Linked DNA regions of Neodiprion lecontei. The protein of the gene in region 3 purifies or fractionates together with the protein of the main gene of each other region. This does not show direct contact. Links are inferred from orthologs where the notes say so. Each region holds a gene or a part of one and is shown on either strand. Other genes may lie near its edges. The genes, in order: YY1-associated factor 2, protein kinase C-binding protein 1, casein kinase II subunit beta and G patch domain-containing protein 2.

Region 1 (7,922 bases), on a different chromosome or scaffold from region 3:
ACGATCTTCCACTCAACCGACAATGCTCATGTTTCGCCAGAATTTTTGTTTCTACCTAAACTAACTACTTCAAGTGTGGCCCGTTCGAAAATCTAATTTTTTTTTTATTTTGAAACACTCTAATGTACATATATATACATATATGTACGTTTGTATATATACATTAGAGTGTCTCAAAAGAAACCAATATCAGTTTTTCATGCTCCTACTCCTCAAAACTTGAGTTTTGATAGAACAAAACATCCCCGCGAAGAAGAGGAAGGGAATCCGCCGCTCATTGGACGCTTCTAATCATAACAACCAATTTACGTCTAGGACGAACTTTTTGGAAGGAAAAATTTTAGACCATGGGGATTGGACTTCAAATTAAGAGAAACAAAATTTCGTTGAATTAATTTTTTTTTATTCCTATTCATAATTTTTGTAATTTTTTAAATTAGAAATTATAGAAAAATAAAAATTAGGTATGAAAAAAAATTTATTTAATGAAATTTTATTTCTCTCGATTTGAAACACAATCCCCATGGTCTCGAATTTTTCCTTCCAAAAAGTTCGTCATACACGTTAATTGGCTGTTATAGTTAGAAACGTCCAATAAACGGCGGCTTTACTTGAGTTACAGAGTTTCCTTTTCGAGAGGATGTTTTTTTCTATCAAACCTCAAGTTTTGAGGGGTAAGAGCATGAAAAATCGAAATAGTTTTTTTTGTAGACACCCTAATATACATATACAGATATTATATTCAATTTACAATATTTTTCCTAAGCATATTACAAAATGGACTTTGCTGTCATAGTTGGTGTACCTCGTGGATACCATACGGATCGATTGAAGCAGGTTTTGCACGTTCACAGTGGAGGCCAACTGACAGCGATTACCGCAACGCAAAATCCTAAATAAAAGATTTTGATTTTTACTAAAATGAAAGATCATAAAGTTGTGATACATGAAATGAAGATATCGTAGAGCGTCGCGAATGAAAAAATGATATCATGCTTTTTAAATGTCCGTCTAATGAGGTCTGGTGGAAATCGCGGTATTGTAGGAGATACATAGACTGAAATGTTGGCACGTATCACGCATTAGAGGTGAAAAAAATGTATCGACGAAATTATCGAATTAGTTATCCCGCCTAAGACGAGAAAAATGTCAGTTCAATTTTTACCTATTTCGATGAAGCTAGGTTTCAATAATTTGATGATTGCATGAATTTAACTTTTACTATGTATGCGACATGAACCTAACAGATAGATTATGTCTTTAGTTACCTTAGGGGTGGTCATCTTCATCTGTAAAACTTTAAGCTCCACAGAGCTTTAGTAATAAGTATAAAATATAAGAGATTACTAGAAAAGACGAAACTTAACTCAGGCGGCACTAGCTAAACTTATCTGTTAGACTATTAGCAGATGTTCTGCCACGTATTTCGTGATATTAAATAATCCTGAATATTCTGATTTAGTCTTAATTTCGATAGCGCCAACGATTAGTTCCATATTTTTCAGTAATCTTGACCCTGCTCAACGTCAACTTAGCTTCATGGAATCGTTTGTTTTTAATCGAACTAATAATATGTGTATTGTATTAAACGATGTGTAAGGCAGTCTCATATTATTTCAAAACAAACGAATAATAGCTGTTGGATTAGTTGTACACAGAGATTCTATGCCATTAATTTTACACCAATAACCGTTGTTGTTACTAAAATATTAGTAATTTTATAATTACTAATACAGTTTACATAGTATCTAGATATACACAGGTCACATGCTACTACCATAGTACAGATAAGTTTTGATTTGATATTCATAATTTTTTTATTTTCTCGTCAATTGGTATTTGATAATTGCCAAATATTTTACTTTTAGGACACTTCTAAGCTGTATCTATTTCAGCCTCAATGATTCACATTCACGTATTTTCATAGTGTTCCACCGTCAGCTTTGCTCTTCATATCCATACTTTCTACACTTTTCGCAAAAAGTTTCAGTAAGAAAAACAAAGCTGTCGCTGTCCGACCATACACAACAATTTCAGATCAGAGATGAGTTACGATCTCTATGGTAGTACACAAATTGATGTTTAAGCCTCCGTTTTCCATCCTTAGCTTTCTTGATGATTCCAAATTGCAAATAGTTGAAATGATGTTATGCGAAAATATAAAGATATGTAGTTGAGTACTTTGTGGACACATTGAAGTTGTATAGTCATCAATTGATTGCATTGTAACGTAATTAATTTTCCAGTTCCAAGTAAAAACGGTGTATTGTAAGCAATGAAATTTAATATGACGAGTACATAAGGGTTACTTTTGTAACATGTTGAGAAAATCTGCTTTTAAAAAAAAATAATAATTTGCACTAAAGATAATTACTATAATAATTGAATGACAATACCTTATTTGTCATATTAATCTCCTAATATGAGAAATTATATACACGTTCATTATTTTATAATGAAACTGTAAGTTGTTGAGAAATCTATACGTCATGTATGGGACACAAGTAACGTATTGTTCCGAGTATAAGCCGACCTCGCATATAATAAGACGACTCCCCATTCTGAGACAGTATTTCAGGGTGTTTTTTTCAGTTGCCCGCAGGTGAGGCAGGTCTATGTGTAAACAAAGTATGATTTCAACTGGTACTGCCAACGATAAAAAAAACTTCGGCTTTTATTCGGAACAATACGGTACCTGATATTGGGATATGTGTAACATCTAATTATGACGTTCTGTAACTCTACGTATTTGATAAATTTCCTATGGTTTTTTGAATTTGCGCTGCTTACTTGTATTTACACATAGAAATATCAATCAACAAATGGTCACTTTTGATGAATTCTCTGAGTCTAAGATCTATAAAATATAGCTTGCTATTTTAGGCTATTGTCATGAGCAGTTATCACTGCAGTCCTGGAAATGAATGCCATTAGCCCATTTATTAGTCAATATTAAGAGTAAGTGTGGAATTTTTAATCTCAATATCTTTTGGCAATTTTGACAAAATACGAGAAATGGACACGATGTAACAAGAATGAGATTTCGCCAATAGCAATCTTCATAATACAGTGACTGTAAAATTATTTGATCGAAACAATTCACAATCATGCATTATGACACGTTTGGGCAATTATTTATTTTTTCTTTCTTTTTTTTGGCATAAAAAAATAACCACTATTCGTTGATTCAATACGCTTAATCAGTATCAGGGGGTACAAGACTTTTTTTCTTCCAATTTCTGAAATTTTTGTAATGAATTCATATGTAGTTTTGATATTTTAATAACTCAAGTCACGATCTTTAAAAAAAGACGAATTGTTTGAGAAATCAATTGGAAAATATTTGGAAGTTTCTTAACCTTGAAGATTCATACAATAGTTTTTCAAACACTTCAAAGGCATGTAAAACGATAACTGGATCTCTGGCAGTGTGATATCACTTGACACTATGACGCATGTGCAATTTAATGCAAGATGTTCCAGCTAAGGATGCGGGATTGAGCAACGAGTAACAGCCAACTTTCCCATCGTTAGAACACTGAAATATGACGCGAAAACCAAAACATCCGACAATTACATATTTCTAAAGCCACAGTAGATGGATAATTGGATAACAGTTTACGCGGGTATACGGCAATTGATAGTGCTTATCTCGCACACAGATGTGAAATAACAAACTTCAATAAAAGTAAAGCAGCTGATATCAGATGGTGTGGTTTTGCATAGCATATATATTAATTATAATCATTTATGCACATGTCGTAATGACGAACTAGGCATCAGTTCCTATGTCAAGGCTTCTAGAATCCTGATTAGAATCATGCTGACTTCCATTCTCAGAAGACGCACTGCTCGAGAGGCCGGATTGGTCGGAGCTCTTCTTTACTTTTGGTTTGTATTCAGTGATGACAACGGTAACATTATTCACAGTGACTTCTTTAGTTTGTGCCGTACTCCGGTCAATGTTCTTGAGGCGAGGCGGATGCCAGTTCTTGCGCCTTGGTTTATCCAGTTTTCGTTCCTTGTCTTTTCCACTACTGGTAGTGCTACTACCGCTTCCACCCTCTTTTTTACCTGGTTTCAAGGGTGGTACGTATTGTTGTTGAGCAACCTGTAAATCAAAAGAGTATATTCACGTATTGTGTAAATATTCCAATATGTTACAATGGTAAATAAAATTGCCATATGATATATTTGCTTACTCCAGAATACTGTTATCTGGTACTTCGTGATGTTTAAGTCACTCTGCATACAGATCGATACATTCACACAATTACACAATGGTGTCTGTATGTTTTTATTCTAGGTGAATAAATTTCGTTATAACGATTGCCAACCTGCTGAGCTACTAGTTGAGGATTGATGCGGGGCTTCCGCGTAGAGGTTCCTTTGCGGACGTCACACATGAGGCACTTGAAAGCTTCAGCTGTATTCCTAAAGGTGCAGACACTGCAGTCCCAATAGCTGTCTTCCAAAACCTTTGCCTGCCGCTTCCCACTTCCGGAATGGTTCATTGTTCATCGGAGTCAGTCGTGCTACGCTGAACCTTCTCAAAAGAGATCCTGCCCTCTTCTGCACCCTTTCAGCCTCATTAAAACCAGTTTTATTAACACTTGTAAGTCTTTGAAATATTTTCAAACGAGCCAGGGTGACTGTATTTATTTAAAACTATCGATGATATAGGACTAAATGTATTTCAGGTGCATCAACTCAATAATACAGTAGGCCACTTCGTGTCTTCGTCAATCTCAAGATGACCGCCTTGGTCCATGAACCATATTATCCTTGTCCAAAACATCATTGTGAATCTTCAAATTTGACTGAAACAAAACAAGCAAATTTCTATCAGCATATTCCAAAATGATTGGACAATCATTTTTGAATGTTAGTTTACTGACAATCAGTTACATTATCCATCAGTACAGAGATTACGAGGTAATACCTAACAAGAATATGTGAACTGCTGTGACTCTTTTTAAAATAGTTATTTATCAGATGCTACGAAAGTAAAAAAATTACATTTCTGGTTGTGTACAGAAAAAAATTCATAAACAGTCATGTCATGTCTGAAGACAGAAATAATTTTTTACAAAATACAGTAGCGGTCGGAATGATGAAGTCAAAACAGACGAATTGATGCATTTCCCAGTTGACCTAAATTTCAGATGCTAATATTCGATTGGTCATTACACCTTTGAGGTAGTACTTGCCTCAGATTGTATTGTCATGAACTGAATCAACTTCGGTTATTCCTAAGTGACGATGTAGAGCTCATCAGTCAAACCTGTAAAAATGACCCCATACGTGGATCACAATATTTTTCTCTATTCAGTATTCAGCATCCGCTCTAGATTATTTACACTCTAGGTACTCAAGAAATGTACAATGTGAAGGATACCGAATTGTTCAGACTATAAGCCGACCCCAAATTCTAAGACAGTATTTCAGAGTGTTTTTCGTAGTTACCCGCACGACGGGTTTGCGTATAAGACGAGGACGATTTTGGCGGGTGCTGTCAACAAAAAAAAAAACCTCGCCTAATATTCGGAACAATACGGTATTATAGGCAAAATCAGTGAACAATCCATTTGGTTGGTATGAGATGAATGATGATTGCACACCTAGGAATCCAAATCTCGACCTTGCGTACTGTTGCAGAAATGTGTTAAGTATTGCACATGCAACTCTGGTAAGGTATGCATGCACGCGTAAAGTGCACATGTGTACGTGCGACACACGATAATATCAATGAACTGGAGCACATACGCATTGGGTACACAACACACACCGTCGAATTAACTCGCTCCAGGCACGCAATATAAACGTGAATTTACTTACGCCGATAGAGCCCCTAGATAAACCGCAAGTTTCTGGGCGGTGAGGACTCTCCGACGACAGTGGAAATAATCCGATATTATCGAACTCCCGAAAGCTGGATAAAATTCAGAAAGTAAAATATTGACAAACAACCAAAGCGCTACAAGGCGCTGTTTTGCTACCACTTGGACGGCGGAACGGCCGAACTTGACCAAACAGCGCTGCCAACTTAATTGTCATTATTCCGCTAAAAATGACCAGACTCTTTGGCGTTCTTTAATCGATTACGGAATCGAGATAAGAATCGATTATTTGATTTGTATTGCGTACATCCGATATTTTTAGTAATAATCAACCCATAATTTACTGCCAAAATACTAAATCAATAAAAACGCCAAATTTCCCACTAAAAACATGAAACATTACCACCACATTAGCTTTAAATTGCAAAATTTTTTACCAAATATGCCAACATTCCTTCGAATCATTATATTTCCCGCCAAACAGGCATCTCTTCCTACGAATAACTTTTCAAAACCACCAAGCTGGTAATTCTGTAAACCAAATCTCTACGCCTAAAGTTGCGACTTGCGATTTTAAAACTGCGGCTCGAACCTCGATTAACAAATGAATTCGATTGCACCGTAAGCAATAATAAGAGAAGTGGTTGCTCCTAAGTTGTCAACGGAATCAGCTTGATATTAATAACCAAATTTTCTCTGTTAAATGTGATTTGCACAACGGAAAAGTGACTCGGGACACTTTAGGTGTCAGTCCAGATAAGAAATGGTGAAAATCTCTAGTTTTAATATTTAAACTTCACTCACTTACTTTACAATTTTATCTCTACAGTGATATTCCTACTTTTTTTGTTCCTCTTTATCAGCTGACATTGAAGGGGAGGATCACAATCACGCGGACAATTTAGGGGTCTTCTGTCAATAGCTAAACCTCAGATGGGAGACCCCTAAATTTTATTCTGAATAACCTCTCAAACTATACTGTTAGGCAGTAAATTCACTATCTGTAATCGTGGTGGTATAGTTGAAAATATTATAACTTGTTTGAATAATTTCTTAGGACTCTGCTGGACCGGAGAGAGCTGAGAAACCATGGGATCATCCATGGACTACAGATGAAATGCGAGAAAAAAGAACTGCCTGGAATCTTGCCGGAGATGCCGGCCTTCTACAGCATCTGCAACAATTTTCAGATGTAGGAATTTTTAGTTAATAAACACTTCGGATCTGGTATAATAATATAAAGCCAGATATTAGGCACACTGATAGAAAATCAAGCTGTTTTCAATCAAAGGAAAATAAAAATCAGATGCAATACGTGTTCAGAACTAATTATGGGACGAAAACGCTTATTTTTACTTTGCTTTTATTAAACGGTCTTATTTAAATTCAATACTTCAATATCTATCGTTTCAAAAGATTTCCCTGTTACACTTCACTTTGGTAATGATTGTAGTCTGGTTTTTCACTATTAGAATGAATTTTTATTAAAAAAAATAACACTCTTGTGCGTGTTTTTTTTTTTGTTTCTTTCCTTCAGAAGCTGATGACAACAGCTAACAAGACGCAGGAAGCCTTAAATTCGTTCAGTTCAGAGCTTGACGAAACAATTATTTTCATAGATAATATAACCAACACATCACTAGCTCTAGCCAACACACAGTTTATCGAGAGTAGAGTCTACGAGGATGAAATAGAAGCTGAACCACCGAAAGAACAACAGCTAGAAGTACGTCAGCAAGACCAAATTTTTTTTTGCTAGACTTGTCTCTTGTTTCATTTCTACTGTAAATTGTGTATTGTTCTATAGAAGTAAAATCTGTCTGATGAAAAGATTTGACCTCAGTTATTAATCTGATAAATTTTATCAGGTACCAAAAACGAAAGAACAGCTAGATACAGAACTGATAGCAAGCATAGGTGAGACTGTACGGCGTGGAATCGCGATAATGGAAGAAAAATACGAAATATTGGAAGTTATTGCTAGCGATAGTGAAGATGAAGGAGAGACTGCAATTCCAAGGTTTGAAAACAGCATTCAAAAATACAAAATACTGCCACCAATGACATGCTGGTATTTTCACT
Region 2 (4,891 bases), on a different chromosome or scaffold from region 3:
TAGGAATATTGTAAAATTAAAAGAATAGAAAATAGGTTTACAGTACTTATGAATATAAATTGAGAAACATGTTAATCTGTGAAGAACTTCAATATTTTGTAGTATGAAGAATGTTCGGAAATACCAAGTGAGAAATAAACGGATTTTGAAACTCTGTGGTTTGGTTTAGAAAATAAGAATATACTAAGTGAGCTTACATTGTTATAAAAAGTTTTACATGGAAAACATAGTTTGCAGTTGATGCAAGATCTACAATTTCGATGTTGAGCAACAAATTAATAATACATCAAATTATTGAAAATAAGAAAACTAACTACTTACACACCAGGTGTCTACCAACCTCGACATTCTCCGTTTTCTCTTGCCCTCCTTAACTGCACTTTCCCCTTTAATCTCTGCTCCATTGATCTTGACGTCTTTACCAACAGACAAAGACGATCTTGTTTCCGAAGCTTGTGCTTCCTCGCTTGTACTTTTAGAGACATCAGGCTTCTTGCCATCAAGTCTATTTTCAACACTGTTATTTTCTTGCGATTCTGCTTCAATTCTACTGTGTTTTTTAGCAGATTGTTTTCGGCTTTTGACATCAGACTCGTTGCTAACGTTATCCTTTGATCTATTCACATTTGTCTTTGATTCTATATTGTCACTTTGCTCCAGAGCATTAGTTAGATTGTTTATTTTGTTCGATTTCTTGCTAGATTCATTATCGTTTTTGTCCTTCTCTGTAACTGCTGTCTCTGAATTGTTCTTCTGATCCTCGCAGTCCTCCATTGCGTTCTTTCTATCCTCCGAGGACTCCATGTTGCTCAGAATCATATATCAGATGGTATCTGTGTGAAATAGATTGTCATTAAAGCTTCGGCTACTTGAAGTTTAATTTTCTGTCTATTCACTGGTAATTCGAATACATGAACTAATACACCATAGTCGAAAAAAAATTTTGTATCACACTGCGCGATTTTGAAAAAAATCTGATATTTGTAGTTCTATTATATGAAGTATCATTTAATTCTATATAACAATCAAATACAGGTTTTTTCAATATACAATAAAACTTTCACCATATGTTATGTGTTATATGTAAGAATTTTATTTTCAATTTCTATAAATTTATTTATGTACAGTGAAAATTTGTATTTTCATGATAAACATTTGAAATCTTGACATACCGACAAAATAAATAAAAGTATGAACTGAAAGCCAGCTAATGTAATTTATTGAAATCGATTCTTTTGAACATTATTATTTATTAATGCACTCCATTATTGCAGCTCTGGCTGTACCAAACTTTCATTTTCAACATTTTTCTAATTTCTAGATGAATAGAACTTTGTCCACATTAGAAATGAAGTAAGAAACTGGATTAAAAATAAAACAATTTAGAGCTGACGATCAATTTTTAAATCCTGCTTCTGTGTCCAAGTATAATATAAAGTGATTTTTGATCAATAACATGAATTGGATATAGGTCAGAGCAATACGCGGAAAAAAGGACTTTTTAGTAGTTATATCATGTTCAAGGATGTAAATATTCTGCATTTTAAATTCAAGGTTTGTAATCAAGCTTCATAACTTTTTCCTTGTTGCCAGGTTTTCTAGGTTCATGGCAATTTTGCCAGAATTGCTTTAGCTAAGATAAAATTATGTTTTAGGGTTTTTGTCAATATGATTTATGACTTCAGAACCGATTAAGGACATGTTTTGTTTGAAACAGATCATGCACGCCGATCCTATTTAAAATGATCCAAGAAACAATCATTCCACAAAAAATTATTTCAACACAAAATTGTATATATGATTATCCTGTCGGTAATTATTCTGTTCACATATAAAATGCAATATTTAGAATAAAAAAAAAAAAATTCATAGATTGCATTAATGTGACTAGTTTGAAATTATCACCTCCCTTGTTCAGCCAAGGACTATATATAGTTTGAAGACACTGACATCAAACATTCTTACATATGCCATTGTTATTACGTACACTTTGAAATGGAAATGATGTTTATCTATGCATTTAAAGTTCCAACCAATCAAGCTTAGTCGAAAACTCAAGTTGTTACTAATACTGAAAACAGGTCGGGGCGTTATTTAGCCTTAAGTTTATTGTGTAATGTTGTGCCCTTGGATGGTTTACAAACTTTTACCAGGTTTACTACACAAAGTCTTATCATAGGATCTCAGTATCAGCAACAAGTTGAATTTACAATAAAGTTTAATGGATCGAAACTTCAGGTGCATATTTCTTACTTCGTTTTTGTTCAAAGTTTAATAGTTTCTGGTGAAATCCTAGCCCCAAAATGTTTCTAGTCTGTATACCATTTACTATTTTCTTGATGATTGAAAGGAAACCAGAAGCCAGGATCTTCCTTCATACTATCCCGAATCGCAAGAGAAACATAAAGCCTTAAATCAATTCTCGGAAGTGAAAATAACTTTGTAAGAGTAAGGTGAATAAGCAATATGACTTATAGTATGCCTCCTGGGTAAGCGACGTGTCTACAACAATGAGGAATACAAGATTATGGCTGAATGCGAAAGATAAGCAGAAAGTAGATGAGTGCCAATGCCAAAAGTGCTAATCGACCTGGTAACAGCGTGTTGTACTAAATGTAAAAAGAAATAATTGTAGAAATGCATTTAAGTTGCAGCGGTACAAACTTGGGTACCTGAGCATGGTTCAATATTGGGAAAGTAATATCAGGATGACAATGAAGTAAAAAGTGGGTATACCTACATCATAGCAGCAGGCACAGGAATGGATGCTGTGGTTGTGTGAAATGGCAGTGAATAGAAGAGGATAGACTGTTAAAATTTCATAAAAATATAAACAGGATCTTACCAATCTATTCAGAAGGAAGTACGCATTATCAAACGACGAAAGCTGGTGATACGACGCATCGCTTTGCAAGACTAATATTTCGTTGAATTAACATGATACAAACATAAGTGGAGACATTAATCGCTATGGAAAGTTAGGAAATATCTCTCGCTGCGCTGCACGAGCAAACCACTACTAGCCGGGCTTTCCTTCTCTTCTCGTTACGCCAGCGCTATCTGTTGAGGTATTGGCAAACCTTCGGACATCACGTGGTGATCGTGTCTACAATTCAGTCGTAACAAAAGTGCACATATACAATTAGAGAACTGTCAAACTATGCGTGGGTCCGGTAATTCCGAAGGCTCGGAATGCTCGTTGAGGCATGACACCTTGTAGTTTTACATCACCTTTTTCGCTCTCCATTTCGCCATCCCGGAATATCACCAGTTTATGTACGAATTTTCGCCAATCTTTTCCACACCTCTTGTTAAAGGGTTAGCTGGTTATCACTGTCAACCAGCTGTAGTGTAGGCGTATAGTGATCTCGCACATACAATATTCGGGTTAACAGCAGCTGTCAAAGAGACGTAATACTTTACGAAAACTATTGCCGAATGAGTTTTCTGACGATTCCGTTACACCGATGTTTTAATCGACTCATAAATTCAACGATAAACTACAAATATATAATAGATAAACGATCAGTCTGATAAGGTATTTATTTAAGGTTACGTTTATCTGTGAAATGTCACTTATTGCAGAAGAATAATAATATTTCGCCTTGTTATTTCCAGTGAGTTAAATCAGCACGAATAATGGAATTGAGTGACTTTATATTAGTTACAAAACTTGATAACGTCGTTCTCACTGATAGAAGCGATGGAACTGATAAAAACTCTAGCTTAGATAGAACGCTCTGCATCACTGGACATCATCTTATACTATCATCAAGGCAGGCTGTTTCTCAGGAGCTTTTGGTACTCAAACTGATCAATTCGTAGTTTTATTCCAACTGCCATATTATTTATTATAATATGTTCCGCAATCCTGTACGTCCCAGAGTTTTAGATATAGTTTTATATTCATAACTCTTGGAAAATAATTTGAGAATTTTACTCATGTTCTGACAATATCTGCAATTTTTTTGAAATATTTTCTAGCCAGTTGACGTTTTATTTTCACATTTTTGTAGATATTCGATTTCTTCCAGCTATTTCATTAAGCACAAGATTTTCCTTCGCTATCAAGCAGTGTTTTAGTTTGAATTGCGTCTTGCAAAAACATAGATAATTACTGAAATAAGAGATACTAACCCAAAATGGATCCTTTGCTAAGCAATACTCTGTGTATTAATAAAGCAAAATTTGACAGTTTAAAACAAAACTATAAATAAGTAATATCATATTAGTAATACAAGGAGAATATATCAATTTGTAATACCTCACTCTGTAAGTGTATAAAAACCAGTTTATCTCCAGTATTGCAATGTCAAATAAACTTAATTTTGATTTAAGATTCCCTTTAAGCACTACAAAAAAAGTGATAAAATCAGGCTTACAGAAATTTGATTTATGAGTATAGACCATCCTTATATTTGAATATCCCAAAAAAATTATGTGCTATCTTGTAACATGTGCAACTTTTCATTTTACATTTAGTCAATTACGTTTCAATAATTACAATAACAGATTTTGGAATACTGTTCGTGATTTAGAAAGATACATCTCAGTAATAAATTAACACAAGCATAAGCAAAAACCTATATTTTCATTCAAAAGTTCTTGAGAGTAAAATATATATTTACATAAATAAGAGTGAAGTATGTAAGTGACACATATATCACCTTATTTATCATTTGACAGTGAACTTTATAAGTTGACCTGTAAATTGCAGGCCAGAATGTAAATACATTTTTAAAGATCATGTGAGAATATGGAACACATTATGTAGTCTTTGCATGTATTGTGAATCAGTTTGAAAATAAGGGCTATGGCTAGCTACCGTTCTATTGATAGAAATGAGGAAGTGTCAAAGGTGTCTGTCAGCAAGTATAGTTGTGTAATGTAA
Region 3 (4,178 bases):
CTACCTGTACTTTGGATTACTCATATGATACAATTTTCATCAAATTCGTGGGGCAAGTGTTTGTGAAAAAGAACTCCGCACTATAAAATTTTTCATCAAGGCTTCGAGGGCTTAATTTCGAACGTAATAAGGAATATAATACGAGTTTTTTTGAAAAATAAAAATACATAAATAAATGACGTTTAATTGTTTGGATTAAGATCTCAAACATATCAGGTGTGCGACGAACATGAAAAACAGTAGAATCTACCAACCAGCCAATTCAACGATTTTCAGATCAAAATAATAAATCGTAATTGAAGGATTAATTTTGCGCGCGACACATAACCAGGTACCATGATCAAATATCGATGAAATCAGAATGGCTGTAATCTTGAAACATAACTACTGAATGTAAAAAAAATAAAAGAAATTGTGATATAGCTTATGAAAAAAAACTTGTACTCTGAGAAAAATCTGAATCGCGCGAGTTTCTATTTTGTAAGCACACTATATTACTATGGATTCACATTGAGTATTTTAAACGTTGAAAAAATAGATATGAGTATATATATATGTACATAAATATATATCATTGAATAATAATGAATCAACTCAAGTTTAAAAAATTGATCCTCGAGAAATTGACAGTTTGATACGATTCTGTTATTGACAAAATTGATATGTCTTGTTTATTGTGACAAATGTTTTTCCTTTTTTTGGATAACAATGAAGTCCATTCTAAAGACGCACTATCGTTCATCGTATTGTTAATGCTTTATTTTATATCCATGGACGTTTGAAAATGTAAATAAAGTTAGTTTTCAAAGACATTAGTGGATTTCATGGGCAAACATTCAATTCCAAACAATATATTGAATAATATACGAGTTAAAATCATGATAATAGTCTAACTATCGATGGTTTGAAATTGGCATACTCCCGAAAGTTGATAAATCAATAGACCAGACGGTACTGCAGAATGCATACTGACCATCTGTTTGCATAAATGACGGTAACGACTCGCGATGCAATTTTTTTCAATTTGCCAACTGACGAATGACTGGCTTCTGTTGCAGTTATAACCAATGTAGATAATACAATTGAAAGATAGAAAAAGATAACTCAGTGTCAGCTGCTTACAAGTGAAAGAATGACAAATTTGCGGTGTATTCTTTTAACTTCGTCAAGTAATAAAGAGCGAAAGGTTATATTGTTCGGCTACATCGTTTGTATTCCATGACGTCATAGACAAACTGAGACTGTTGCCACAACGGATTTCGCTCGTCCGCTCACCTCTGTGTCCTCTGACATCAGAATTTCAACAATATGTACCATCCCCCCATTCCACTGATCTCAATTATAATCACATTACAATAGAGATTATTGCCATGATTATTGCCCTACTCCTGCCATATTGTCCAACGATGAGCCAACCAATCATAATACAGGGTTGAACAATGAATCCGATAGTTTTTGTAAATCGACTATAGTTTCCAGCACTATCCGCGAGCGTAGTTTCCAATCATCACTCGACGCAGCACTGACTATAGATAAACGAGAGGCCTGTTATATCGACGCCCTGCGCCTGCCGTGTCGCCGATAACAAAATAATTTCATGTTCATTGTGGAGAACAGTTCGTGAATAGTGGATCGAATTGTATGTTGTGTGAGAAACTAGCGGGTGTATTTATTATCAATATCAGTATGGACTTGAATTGAAGTTAACATGGTATCAGGATTCTGAGAATAGTGTGCACCCAATAAATTCTCCGCATACAGCTGGTAGCAGACGCTAGCAGCGACACCTACCCTCTCTGGGCGAGCAAGCGTGGCTAATCAAGGCACCAAAAGGTAAGCCGTAAGGGCTGTTTATTTTTGGGTTTTCGGTTTACCGCGTGGCTCTTAGGCCAGTTTTCCTAGAGTCATGCGATTTTCCCTTATATTTAGTTATACAACGTACTCAATAATCATTTGACCGATCAGCAATGACCACGGAAACGTAGGTGAAGCGGTTGAGCAAAATGTCGGGCATCTTGCGTGCCGAACGAAGTGTCTTGTTATTCCGTTGGCTAATCTACGCGATTATGGTTTGTTAAAGTTTTTCACTAATATATCTCTAATTAATAGAAAAATGAGCAGTTCCGAGGAGGTATCATGGATCTCGTGGTTCTGCGGGCTCAGAGGAAATGAATTTTTTTGTGAGGTAAGAATTTTTCTAATCTCATTCTCATACAATCGTTATGATAGGTACTACCGATTATCAGTCAAAAATTTGGTGAAATCACTTTCTATGAATCATTCCTTAAATATTATGGCGTCTATTGTTGACCTCCAAATTTGCACTACCGCTGATATTACTATATATCCGTATGCTAATCGAGTGTAAAACCAAGTGTTTCAAAATTTAACTGAGATTATCATTATTATAAGTGTGGAGCTCAATTTTTAACCGAAATTATGTTTACAATTTCTACGCAGGTTGATGAAGACTATATACAAGATAAATTCAATCTAACTGGTCTCAATGAACAGGTTCCACACTATCGTCAGGCATTGGACATGATCCTTGACCTCGAACCTGGTACATATTGTCTTTTGTTTTTAAACTCTCTGTCGTACTTGTTATATATTCTCTGTGATCTACACCACTATCAGAACACTTAAGAATAATTCAAATCTTAAAACTTGAAAATCATAAGTACTGATAGCTCTATCGTCAAAGTGTAGAATTATAGGTATAGTTGAGTCGATATTTTTTAAGAAACTTCTTTTGCATCTTTGAATCTGGTGTGTTTAAATTGGAGAATATTACTGAGATGTGTACATTTTTGACTCATAGCTGCACATATAAACTTGAAAAATTTCCTAATTTTAGATGATGAACTGGATGACAATCCGAACCAATCGGATTTGATAGAACAGGCTGCTGAAATGCTGTATGGTCTTATTCACGCACGTTATATTTTAACGAACCGAGGTATTGCACAAATGATTGAAAAGTATCAGTCTGGTGACTTTGGCCACTGTCCACGTGTTTACTGCGAATCGCAGCCTATGTTGCCACTAGGACTCAGCGATGTACCAGGCGAAGCAATGGTCAAAAGTTACTGTCCCAAATGTATGGACGTCTACACTCCTAAAAGTTCACGACATCATCATACTGACGGTGCATATTTTGGAACTGGATTCCCACACATGCTGTTTATGGTGCATCCCGAATATCGACCTAAACGTGCTGCTAACCAGTTCGTGCCCAGGTAAAACCCTCACAACGAGAACTAGAAATAGTTGCATAACTGCAGAACTAAAAGATTTCTACCAGTCAACCAAACCAAGATAGTGATTTATTTATTTGGCTCTATTTAGGCATACTATTATGTGATATATACATTCTTATCTCGAGACCAGGACTCGAGAATTACTCTAAATACTTTATTTTACAAAATTTCAGGTTATATGGATTTAAAATTCACCCCCTGGCTTATCAGATTCAACAACAATCTGCTGCAACCTTCAAAGCTCCATTAAGAACTCTCAACTATAACAACGGAAAGCGTTAAAACTTTATTTAAATTTGAATTAGAAAATTTTCATTCGTATTTCGTAATACAAACCATAATTTTGTTGATAAGTTTTAAATAAACTGTCACTTGTTTTATAAACCTTCTTCAACCGGTTTCCGAGACCGAAGCAAGCGAACAAATCTATAGATGCAGCGTGCAAATATTAATGTTCGTAGGTAATTATAACCTTTCTCCATTTTACTTATACGTATACCTTTTTGTTTACTTGCCAAATCTAATGAACATTTCATTTTTTTAGTATGTAGCATAGTATCGAGATAATTTAATGTTAACTTCATGAATTCCGTGCAGTATTTTTTAACGCGCACTTGATTGTGCAGTTCGAAAACCTGTTAATTATTGATTGTTCTACTCTGAAAACAAAATATACCAATATTACGTATTTATCTATACTTCTAAGAATGTCATTGCTATAGAGCAATTTCTAACGCAATCGACAAACATCAATGAAAAGTAAACTAAAATTAGAAGTTAGCCTAATAGTAAAGTAAATTTGTTATTAACGATGAGATCAAAACCGTGTCATCATTTTCCAAATTATTAGTAGGATAAAATCGAAAAAAAAAAATGGTGTATAAACTATATTTGCTAAGCATAGTTTAATTTATACAA
Region 4 (7,681 bases), on a different chromosome or scaffold from region 3:
AAGTAAAATTACGAATGTTGATCTATTACAACTTTCAGCAAAAGTAATTTAAACGTACTTTCGTCTTGTCCTACAGTCTGGTAAAAATTCGAAGTGTAACGATATAATTAATCGTTTAAATTTGACATAGTAAAATATTTAATAAAACATATTTATTATTGGAATAATTTTATAACTTTTCAGTTTAGAGACTTCTTGACATCATACAATAAGCTATCGGAAATCTGCTTCATTGACTGTATAACCGATTTTACAACACGAGAAGTGAGAACCAAAGAGGAGAAATGTGCGCTGAATTGTATGGAGAAATATATGAAGATGAATCAGAGGGTCTCCCAACGCTTTCAAGAATTTCAGATGATAGCCAATGAAAATGCAATGGCAGCAGCTAAAAAATTAGGTCAATTACGCTAATAATACTACATTTATTTTTGGTCATTTAGAATTTTATCAACAAGTGCTCCTCGTTCTATGTTATATGCTATTAGTATATCAAAAACGTCTTACTATATGAATAAACTAACGCATGAATTTTATAGAAGTAGTAGTGTATTTATTGTTATATTATGTTTTTAAACATAACTTCCACCATTGGCCCATCTTTCATGAACGAGTTTTCAAAAACCCTAATAGAAGATGATAATAATTAACATATACAGTATTCCAGACTGTACTGTAGGTAACAACTTAACACTATAGTTATAAATTATTATAATCATTATTTCAAGTGATATTCCAAAAATAAATGACCGGAGATCTACTTACACCTCAAAAAAAACTGATATACATCTTCGAGGAATTCTTGGGCATGTTTCATCAAGATCTGGTTTAGGCACAAAAATGTACAGAAGTATAGTTCATGAGACATGTAACTGTTGTTCTGGTAAACCTTAGTATATCAAATGCTTGTAAATAATATTTCTTTATGTAACTGTTCTTTACAGGCATTCTTACAAATGTTTTAAAATATAATTCAAACACAAGACAGGATTGTAAGTTTCTCTTTTTATACAACTAAATACCGGTGAAGCGAACGGAATTTTCTGATAGAATGAGAAAAATTACGAAATTCCGGAAAAAACTGCACAGAACGTCAGCAGATAATAGCGAAGTTTAATGAATTCACAAGAAGGGGACGGAAAAATAAAATCGGCTACATTTCTTTTCGCAATGTCATTGATTTTCGCCTTTGATTATATTCAACCATGCTATCAAGGTGCGATGGAGCTTGATTTAAGTTTGAATTATACTTACAAAAACTGGTTTATGACTGTAAAAATCGGCGTTTTCAGAGAATTGTCATTATGCAAGAACATATGTGTAGATTCGTAATAAAATCTCTATAACATTTAGCTAGATTTGGAGTGACCAAAGCTATGAAACTTTGGTTTTATTTGCAGGTCTGTACTTGGTATATCCCAGCCAAAGTTTACAGTTTGTGTCAGGCTCTCGACAGAGCCAATACCCTGTATTTGGTTTGTAATTTGTGTACCAAAATTCACACTTGAAATAGGTAGCTCATTCTCCTGCATTTCCGAATCAGGATTTGGCGAATTTGGTGGAGTCTTTCGTAGCCTTTTGTAATCGGATATTCTATTCAGAGAAACTTGATCGACGCAAATGGCTTGGGTCGTATGGCGAGTTTTGTATAAAATTGGACAACTCAAATCACCCTTCAAACTTAAGCTGTACAAATTGGCAAGCCTTCGTAGTTTTTCACGCTCAGGCTGTCGCATTGGATGCAGCTTTAGTTCACTTTGGCTAGGGTCCTGTAGAAACCTTGAAACTTTTTCGTTCGCCGAAGTTATTATAGAATAACCAGGCTTATTATCCACACGGCGTCGCCCAGCTCGAATTTCTCTGCCACTGAGTCCATCTCGAATCCATTGCATTCTTTGACGATAATTTTTTTTCGCCTCATCGGTTAAATGCTCAAAGCTACCGTGTAGTATTACTTGCAAAGCCGGATCTGAACTGACCTTTTCTTCATTTGTGCTGTCCCCGTCGTCCCACCATCCTGAATCTCCAATCCAATCGGATTGCTCATCATCGCCTGAAAGCCAAAATTTCGTAATTGTAATGAACACATCACTTGAAAAAAAAATATGCGTGTTTAATAGAATGCCTTCAGAAATAACTTTGTTTTTTTTTTTCCATCTCCCACTTCATGATACTATAGTTCATAACAAAATATTGAACTTTGTGAATGGAAAATGCAGAACAATTTTTTCAAGCTGTACCACATCGAGATTTTGTAGTTGCCATTTGATTTGATTAACACGTAAGAAATCCAATTCTGACGTTTATTTGATAATAATTTTTCTATACAAAGAACGGAACTTTCTATGATAGAGTTTGAGTACTTATTTAGTTTTCTTCAAATTGGCGCGTAGTAAAATTTGTCACTGTACAGATTTTTCGAAAGGGTGAAGGACTATGTTTACGTAATGTTGAATATCTCAGAAATCGTACTGCTTAAACTTTTCTATAACACGCCAATTTGAAGAAAACTAAATAAGTTGTGAAACGTATAGTATATAATATGTAGTATATAAACGTACCATAGAAAATTCCATTTCTTGTATAAAGAAATTATTATCTCCATCGAAACATCAGAATTGGATATCTCACGTTTTAATCATAAAAAAATGAAAAAAAAAAAACAGAGCATTTTCCTTTTATGACGTTCAATATTACATTATCGACTATAGTTTCATGAAGTGGTAGATCGGCACCCCAGTATTTCAAAGTATCTTAATGGAATACAGTATCTATATAACTTAAACACATGTTATATTTAAAATATAAACTCACCTTCGCGGTCTTCATCGTTGGTAATTATTCCACCTTCAGAATCACTCGATGAAATACTAGAGTTAGAAATGCGTGAGCAGTCCATCACATCCTCAGCTTGCATCTTACCACGGTTTTTTATTTTTGAATTACGGTTTGGTTTGGGAGATCGCATTTCACAGTCAATTGAACGCTCGCGACATGACCTCTTCCTTTTGCCACACCTAAAATCAACATGATATGTAATTATCTACTCCACTGATTTGGAACATTTTTATCTTAAGTGAACAAACTGAAGTGAATAAGATTGCGAAACTGTCTAATTACCATGTTTCATGTCTAAGTCTGCAATCGTTCCGAAATCCCCTTTTCTTTTTGCCTGACAAACTCGGGATCATCGTGACAGTCTGTGAAGTTGATGGATTAGAATCAGAGTCGATAGCCATTCGCTTGAATTTTCTTTTCCGTCTAGTGTTAGCTCCAGGTGCAAAATTTTCATTTACTGAATCACTTTCGATGTTATTGATATTTTTCAAGTTTGAAAAGCGAGCGAATCTTTTTGTCTGGTTATTGTCATCGCTGTCCGACTGATATTTTGAGACTGTCGCACTTTTTGGTATGCGTACATCGCATATAGAGGACGAACTATCATCTGAATGCTTATTTGCACTCAGAGAAGCTGAAAAATTAATCATAAAACATTATTCAGTATCTATTATTATTATTATAGTATGCAATTGCCACTAAACTCTGTTCGTAAATAAAAATCATTTGGTTTAGTATATAATCTATTCCTCTGCCACTTATACTCACGAATATTTCCTGTTGACCTTGCTCTTCTCCTGATACCCCATCTACGCCTCACATTGGCGCTGTTGCTACTTTCTTCTAACGCAAGGGTCAAGTCGTGAACAAGAGCCTCCATTATAACTCTTAAATCCACAGACGCTGTTTTTAGGGCACGCTCCATTTGAAGAATACGCTTTTTCCTTGAAATTTAATCGTGAACACAATTGGAAACAACTGAATTAATTCAAATTTTCTCTACTCTTCACCCCACAAATCTAGTGTTTGTGATAAGCAATACAGGATTTTTAAACATTTTTTTAGTCGTTTATCAATTATTAAAACATCGAATAAAAGCTACATTGTAAATAAGGTATCTTAAGCTATCTAATTCCATCACTCCAATGTTTTCTTTCAAATGATACATTGACTAAGCAATCTGGAAGGCCTTATTTTGTAAAATTGAACAGCCTTGTATTTATAGTGAATTCTTATGTTTAAAAAAAGCTTCAGGCATGGCTTCATTGGTATAGAGCCTTTCTCACGACTGCTCTGAATATCAAAACTGACAATAAATACAAGGGTGAACTGCAGTGACATTGGTAGGATGTGCAAAAGTATAGTTTTGATTTTTTTTAAAAAAACATTGCATTTGGTATATCGTGATATGTCAAAACCGAACCTATTAGTCCTTGTACAAGCTAAACTGCATTGGCTAAACTAATGATATGATTATGCAGACGTTCATATATTAACAGTTCTAATCCCGTTACACCCACTTTTTCTTACAATTTAACAGGTCATTATCCAATTTTAGATTGAAACCGGACTCCCAAAAGTAAAGTATTTTTTTCACTCTTGGTAAACTCAAATGTTACATTAATTGTTTTCTTTTCAACTGCATGTTTGTGTAAATTCAAAAATTTCCCAATTATGTCACAGCAGAACGTTCATGAATATCAAGAAGCTGAGAAGTTCGTGTAGCTAAAGATAGTTTCATGTATGCAAAACCAACCTAGACGTTTCTTTGCAGTCATGCAAAAGATTGAAACATGAAATCCATAGATTGAGTGATTGAAGAAAAAAATTGCCACTAATTTCAGTTGTTACGTTATTGTTACAAAGTTACAATGACTGTATTTGTGTATTACTTTATAAAGTTTTGATGACTTTTTAAATTGGAATTAATTTGATATGGTTCAGGTTTTATTGCTATTCTCTTGATACTTTCGAAAGAAGTTCACAAAATGTTTTGTACATCATATTCGCCTAGTGAAACTTGTTCTCAATTTTTTAACCAGGGTGGCCACTCAATTCCGCTCACGGAATTCCCTGACATTTCCCGGTTTTCCAGACGGGTGGCCACCCTGTTAACTGTGCCAACAAAAATTGAATATTTTTCCACAGCTTTGTAATTAAATGGTACAAGAAATTTATAAATTCATTCCAGTTATATAAAGCTGTGTTTACAATTTTAACATTTATTTATGACAAAATAATATTGAAAGTTTAAAATAAGTTATTAGACAGTCTCATAAATCTAAGTGGAAAATTAATATGTAAATTGCACAGAATAAAATTTGAACAAAAGCTTACAAGTACAGCAAACGATTGGAGTAAGTGAAAAACTCACATAACCGTATCATGAAAAATCGTCACAAGTGAGGTGGTTTATAAAATGTTACTTAGCTTCGATCATTCGATACACGACATGTAAAATCTCATAGATTATATCAGGTCAGTAACGGGAAGGAACAAAATAGAGAAAAATATGCCTATTCGCCTGGATACGATGTAACAATAACAAAAATATTCATTTGTAATAACAATTTAGAGATTACAACAAGTATTGTGTAAGGTGTAAAAATTTAATTTGAATGTTACATGCAGCTACAACTCATTGAAAACTCGTATCACGATAGAAAGACGTGCAAACTTCAAACGTAGATATGTACGTATATACTAACCAAAATTCTAGTGATTTTGCGTGAATAGTCTAGTAGATGAAACAAAGCACCATTAACATATCAGAACACAAACCGCAACAGAGTCGAACCTTTCGCGAAACTTTCCGAGACAGAGGAAACGGACGGGGTCGTGGGGGAGCATCGCTCCCAGCCGACACTAACTCAACCGGGACCCACCCTGTCGAAGAAACCCCTAAGGTTAAGACAATTCGCACTAATCCCAAGAAGGATTTCAAGTCCAGGGATATCGTGCTGGATTTGGCTCCCAAAGCCAAAAGTTCAGTCGCATCAATGGAGAAGAATGATCCACTCATTAATGATCTGCTCACTATCGAGGGAATCAACGGTTTCGTTGAGGTAGCTCGAGAGCGCACATTCCAACTGGACTTTAGCGGGTACACTCAAGTCATCCAAACATCATATGGTGCCCAGAGGGCTTTCGATAGATCTATGAGGAAGTATGTTCCTTTTAGTGCCTATCAATATTATTGCACAGTGGCACTTTAGAAAAGACTGTTTGATATCTCAAGCTCAAGAGGTCATCTCACTCTTGAACATCTACAGTTATCTCAGGCCCTAAATTTTGACTTTCCATTACCAACAGATATCTAAATGTATCTGCAAGGGATAGGAGATATTAGGTATGCATCTGGACGAGAATTCCATTTGCAACTCCAAGCCACACTGACTGATCACCGGGTTAACGGAATGGTCGGAAGCTATGGTATCATTGATGCCAATACTTATATATTATATGAAACGATACCCGCGCCAATCATTTCCGTTCTGAAGATGCAGGCAGATCTTATGCCTGTTGGCCCTATTCACTGGGATCCTCCAGAAGGTCTTCGTCCTAATCTAGAGGCCGCTCAATTGCCTACAGAAAACCTTTTAGGTTGGCGTAGAAAAGAGAGGCTGTCAGAAGATCAGCGTGTGACCCTAGAAGCAGGTGGGATTACAGCTAACGATGTGTTTCCAAGGAACATCGCAAATATCCCAATTTTCCAGGATTTACTAAAATCTGTGGCAGATCATATTGAAAATTCAAAATGTAAAGCGATCGCAACCTTCCCAACTTCAACTACAGGATCCTTAGCCCAAGTATCCTTTATATCACGTTCACCAGACGATTCAGAACCTGAACCACTCCGTAACATAGCAGCAAAGCTAGGGAGAACTAACAGCTACACTCAAGCTGTGTCAGGAATAGCGTCTTCATCCGCAATTATGCGATACCGAATCCAGAGGCGAACGAATCATGAAATTGATTCTATATGTTATCGGTTCGCAGCTCAAGCCATACCACAACCATGGCTTCAGAACGTGAACCAGATTTTCCACACTTCCAAATTTCAGAACTCGATGGACGAGCGAATTATAACTCGTTTGTGAACAGAGTTCGAAGAAACGTAACTCGAGATTGAGTACCAATTATCGGAACCATCCCCCCCCCCAAGATGTAAGTCGTATCACATATGAACCGCATTCTTTGTACATTACACATGTTTATTTAGTTTCGTTACTAATTTTATTATTATTATTCACCAATTATATATATAAATATAGTTCTGACGAGTGTGGACAGAAGGGTTCCTGTCACCTAGTTATTCATGAGAGGTAAAAAATAATTGAGCTCAAAATCGTGCAACACAGATAGGCAGCACACGGCGTATATAAGTAGCTCATAGCTGCTGATCGCACGCACCTTGCGTATTGTAATTTTGTTTGTATGTACGAATGTGTTGTTATTATTGTATCAAATGCGTGCCGAGTAGCCACGCGATTCTATTATATCGGTGCGACCATCTTTACGAAACAGTTGCAAGCGGTAGCAAATTTTTGATCATCTTCGGAGATTGTTGTTATGTATGTAACAAATGATTTGACGGCCGATCAGAATGTGTTGCCTAACATGCGTGTAAGCGTGTGTGTGTGCATACATACCCTGAAATCAAAGCAAATTAATTTTCAAGTCTCTTATTCCCATGAAAAGACGGAATGTTATTGGCTAGGAACGATCGTTCGACCAATGACGATCCATTGATGGAAGGAACTACAGGGACGCTGGTTCGTACGTCCATGCATGTACAAGCTATGCGCGACTGTCGCGCCACAACGTTAATCATTTACCTTTG

Evidence for each region.
Region 1: the proteins of casein kinase II subunit beta (region 3) and YY1-associated factor 2 purify together in Homo sapiens (affinity purification with mass spectrometry; 5 studies listed by BioGRID and IntAct, counting the BioPlex papers as one, with this or other methods). This does not show direct contact. The link is inferred for Neodiprion lecontei from reciprocal best matches to the Homo sapiens genes CSNK2B and YAF2.
Region 2: the proteins of casein kinase II subunit beta (region 3) and protein kinase C-binding protein 1 purify together in Homo sapiens (affinity purification with mass spectrometry; 3 studies listed by BioGRID and IntAct, with this or other methods). This does not show direct contact. The link is inferred for Neodiprion lecontei from reciprocal best matches to the Homo sapiens genes CSNK2B and ZMYND8.
Region 4: the proteins of casein kinase II subunit beta (region 3) and G patch domain-containing protein 2 purify together in Homo sapiens (co-immunoprecipitation; 3 studies listed by BioGRID and IntAct, with this or other methods). This does not show direct contact. The link is inferred for Neodiprion lecontei from reciprocal best matches to the Homo sapiens genes CSNK2B and GPATCH2.

Annotation. Positions count from the first base shown.
Region 1 is NC_060263.1:33,482,097-33,490,018, reverse strand, and holds YY1-associated factor 2, read right to left. Parts: upstream 6,022-7,922; 5' UTR 5,839-6,021; intron 4,821-5,838; 5' UTR 4,515-4,820; coding exon 4,338-4,514; intron 4,112-4,337; coding exon 3,773-4,111; 3' UTR 180-3,772; downstream 1-179. Other genes in the region: WASH complex subunit 2C, read left to right, coding at 6,604-6,606, 6,898-7,032, 7,378-7,566, 7,709-7,860. UniProt on the Homo sapiens protein: Binds to MYC and inhibits MYC-mediated transactivation. Also binds to MYCN and enhances MYCN-dependent transcriptional activation. Increases calpain 2-mediated proteolysis of YY1 in vitro.
Region 2 is NC_060263.1:23,697,483-23,702,373, reverse strand, and holds the start of protein kinase C-binding protein 1, read right to left. Parts: upstream 3,023-4,891; 5' UTR 2,846-3,022; intron 2,385-2,845; exon of another isoform or gene 2,254-2,384; intron 834-2,253; 5' UTR 820-833; coding exon 326-819; intron 1-325. Other genes in the region: myotubularin-related protein 9, read left to right, coding at 3,640-3,801. UniProt on the Homo sapiens protein: Chromatin reader that recognizes dual histone modifications such as histone H3.1 dimethylated at 'Lys-36' and histone H4 acetylated at 'Lys-16' (H3.1K36me2-H4K16ac) and histone H3 methylated at 'Lys-4' and histone H4 acetylated at 'Lys-14' (H3K4me1-H3K14ac).
Region 3 is NC_060262.1:34,621,111-34,625,288, reverse strand, and holds casein kinase II subunit beta, read left to right. Parts: upstream 1-1,839; 5' UTR 1,840-1,967; coding exon 1,968-1,981; intron 1,982-2,109; coding exon 2,110-2,185; intron 2,186-2,460; coding exon 2,461-2,563; intron 2,564-2,857; coding exon 2,858-3,239; intron 3,240-3,433; coding exon 3,434-3,542; 3' UTR 3,543-3,644; downstream 3,645-4,178. UniProt on the Homo sapiens protein: Regulatory subunit of casein kinase II/CK2.
Region 4 is NC_060265.1:19,680,435-19,688,115, reverse strand, and holds G patch domain-containing protein 2, read right to left. Parts: upstream 5,761-7,681; 5' UTR 5,689-5,760; coding exon 5,636-5,688; intron 3,783-5,635; coding exon 3,607-3,782; intron 3,473-3,606; coding exon 3,121-3,472; intron 3,018-3,120; coding exon 2,815-3,017; intron 2,054-2,814; coding exon 1,350-2,053; 3' UTR 532-1,349; downstream 1-531. Other genes in the region: mitochondrial import inner membrane translocase subunit Tim9, read left to right, coding at 184-414. UniProt on the Homo sapiens protein: Enhances the ATPase activity of DHX15 in vitro.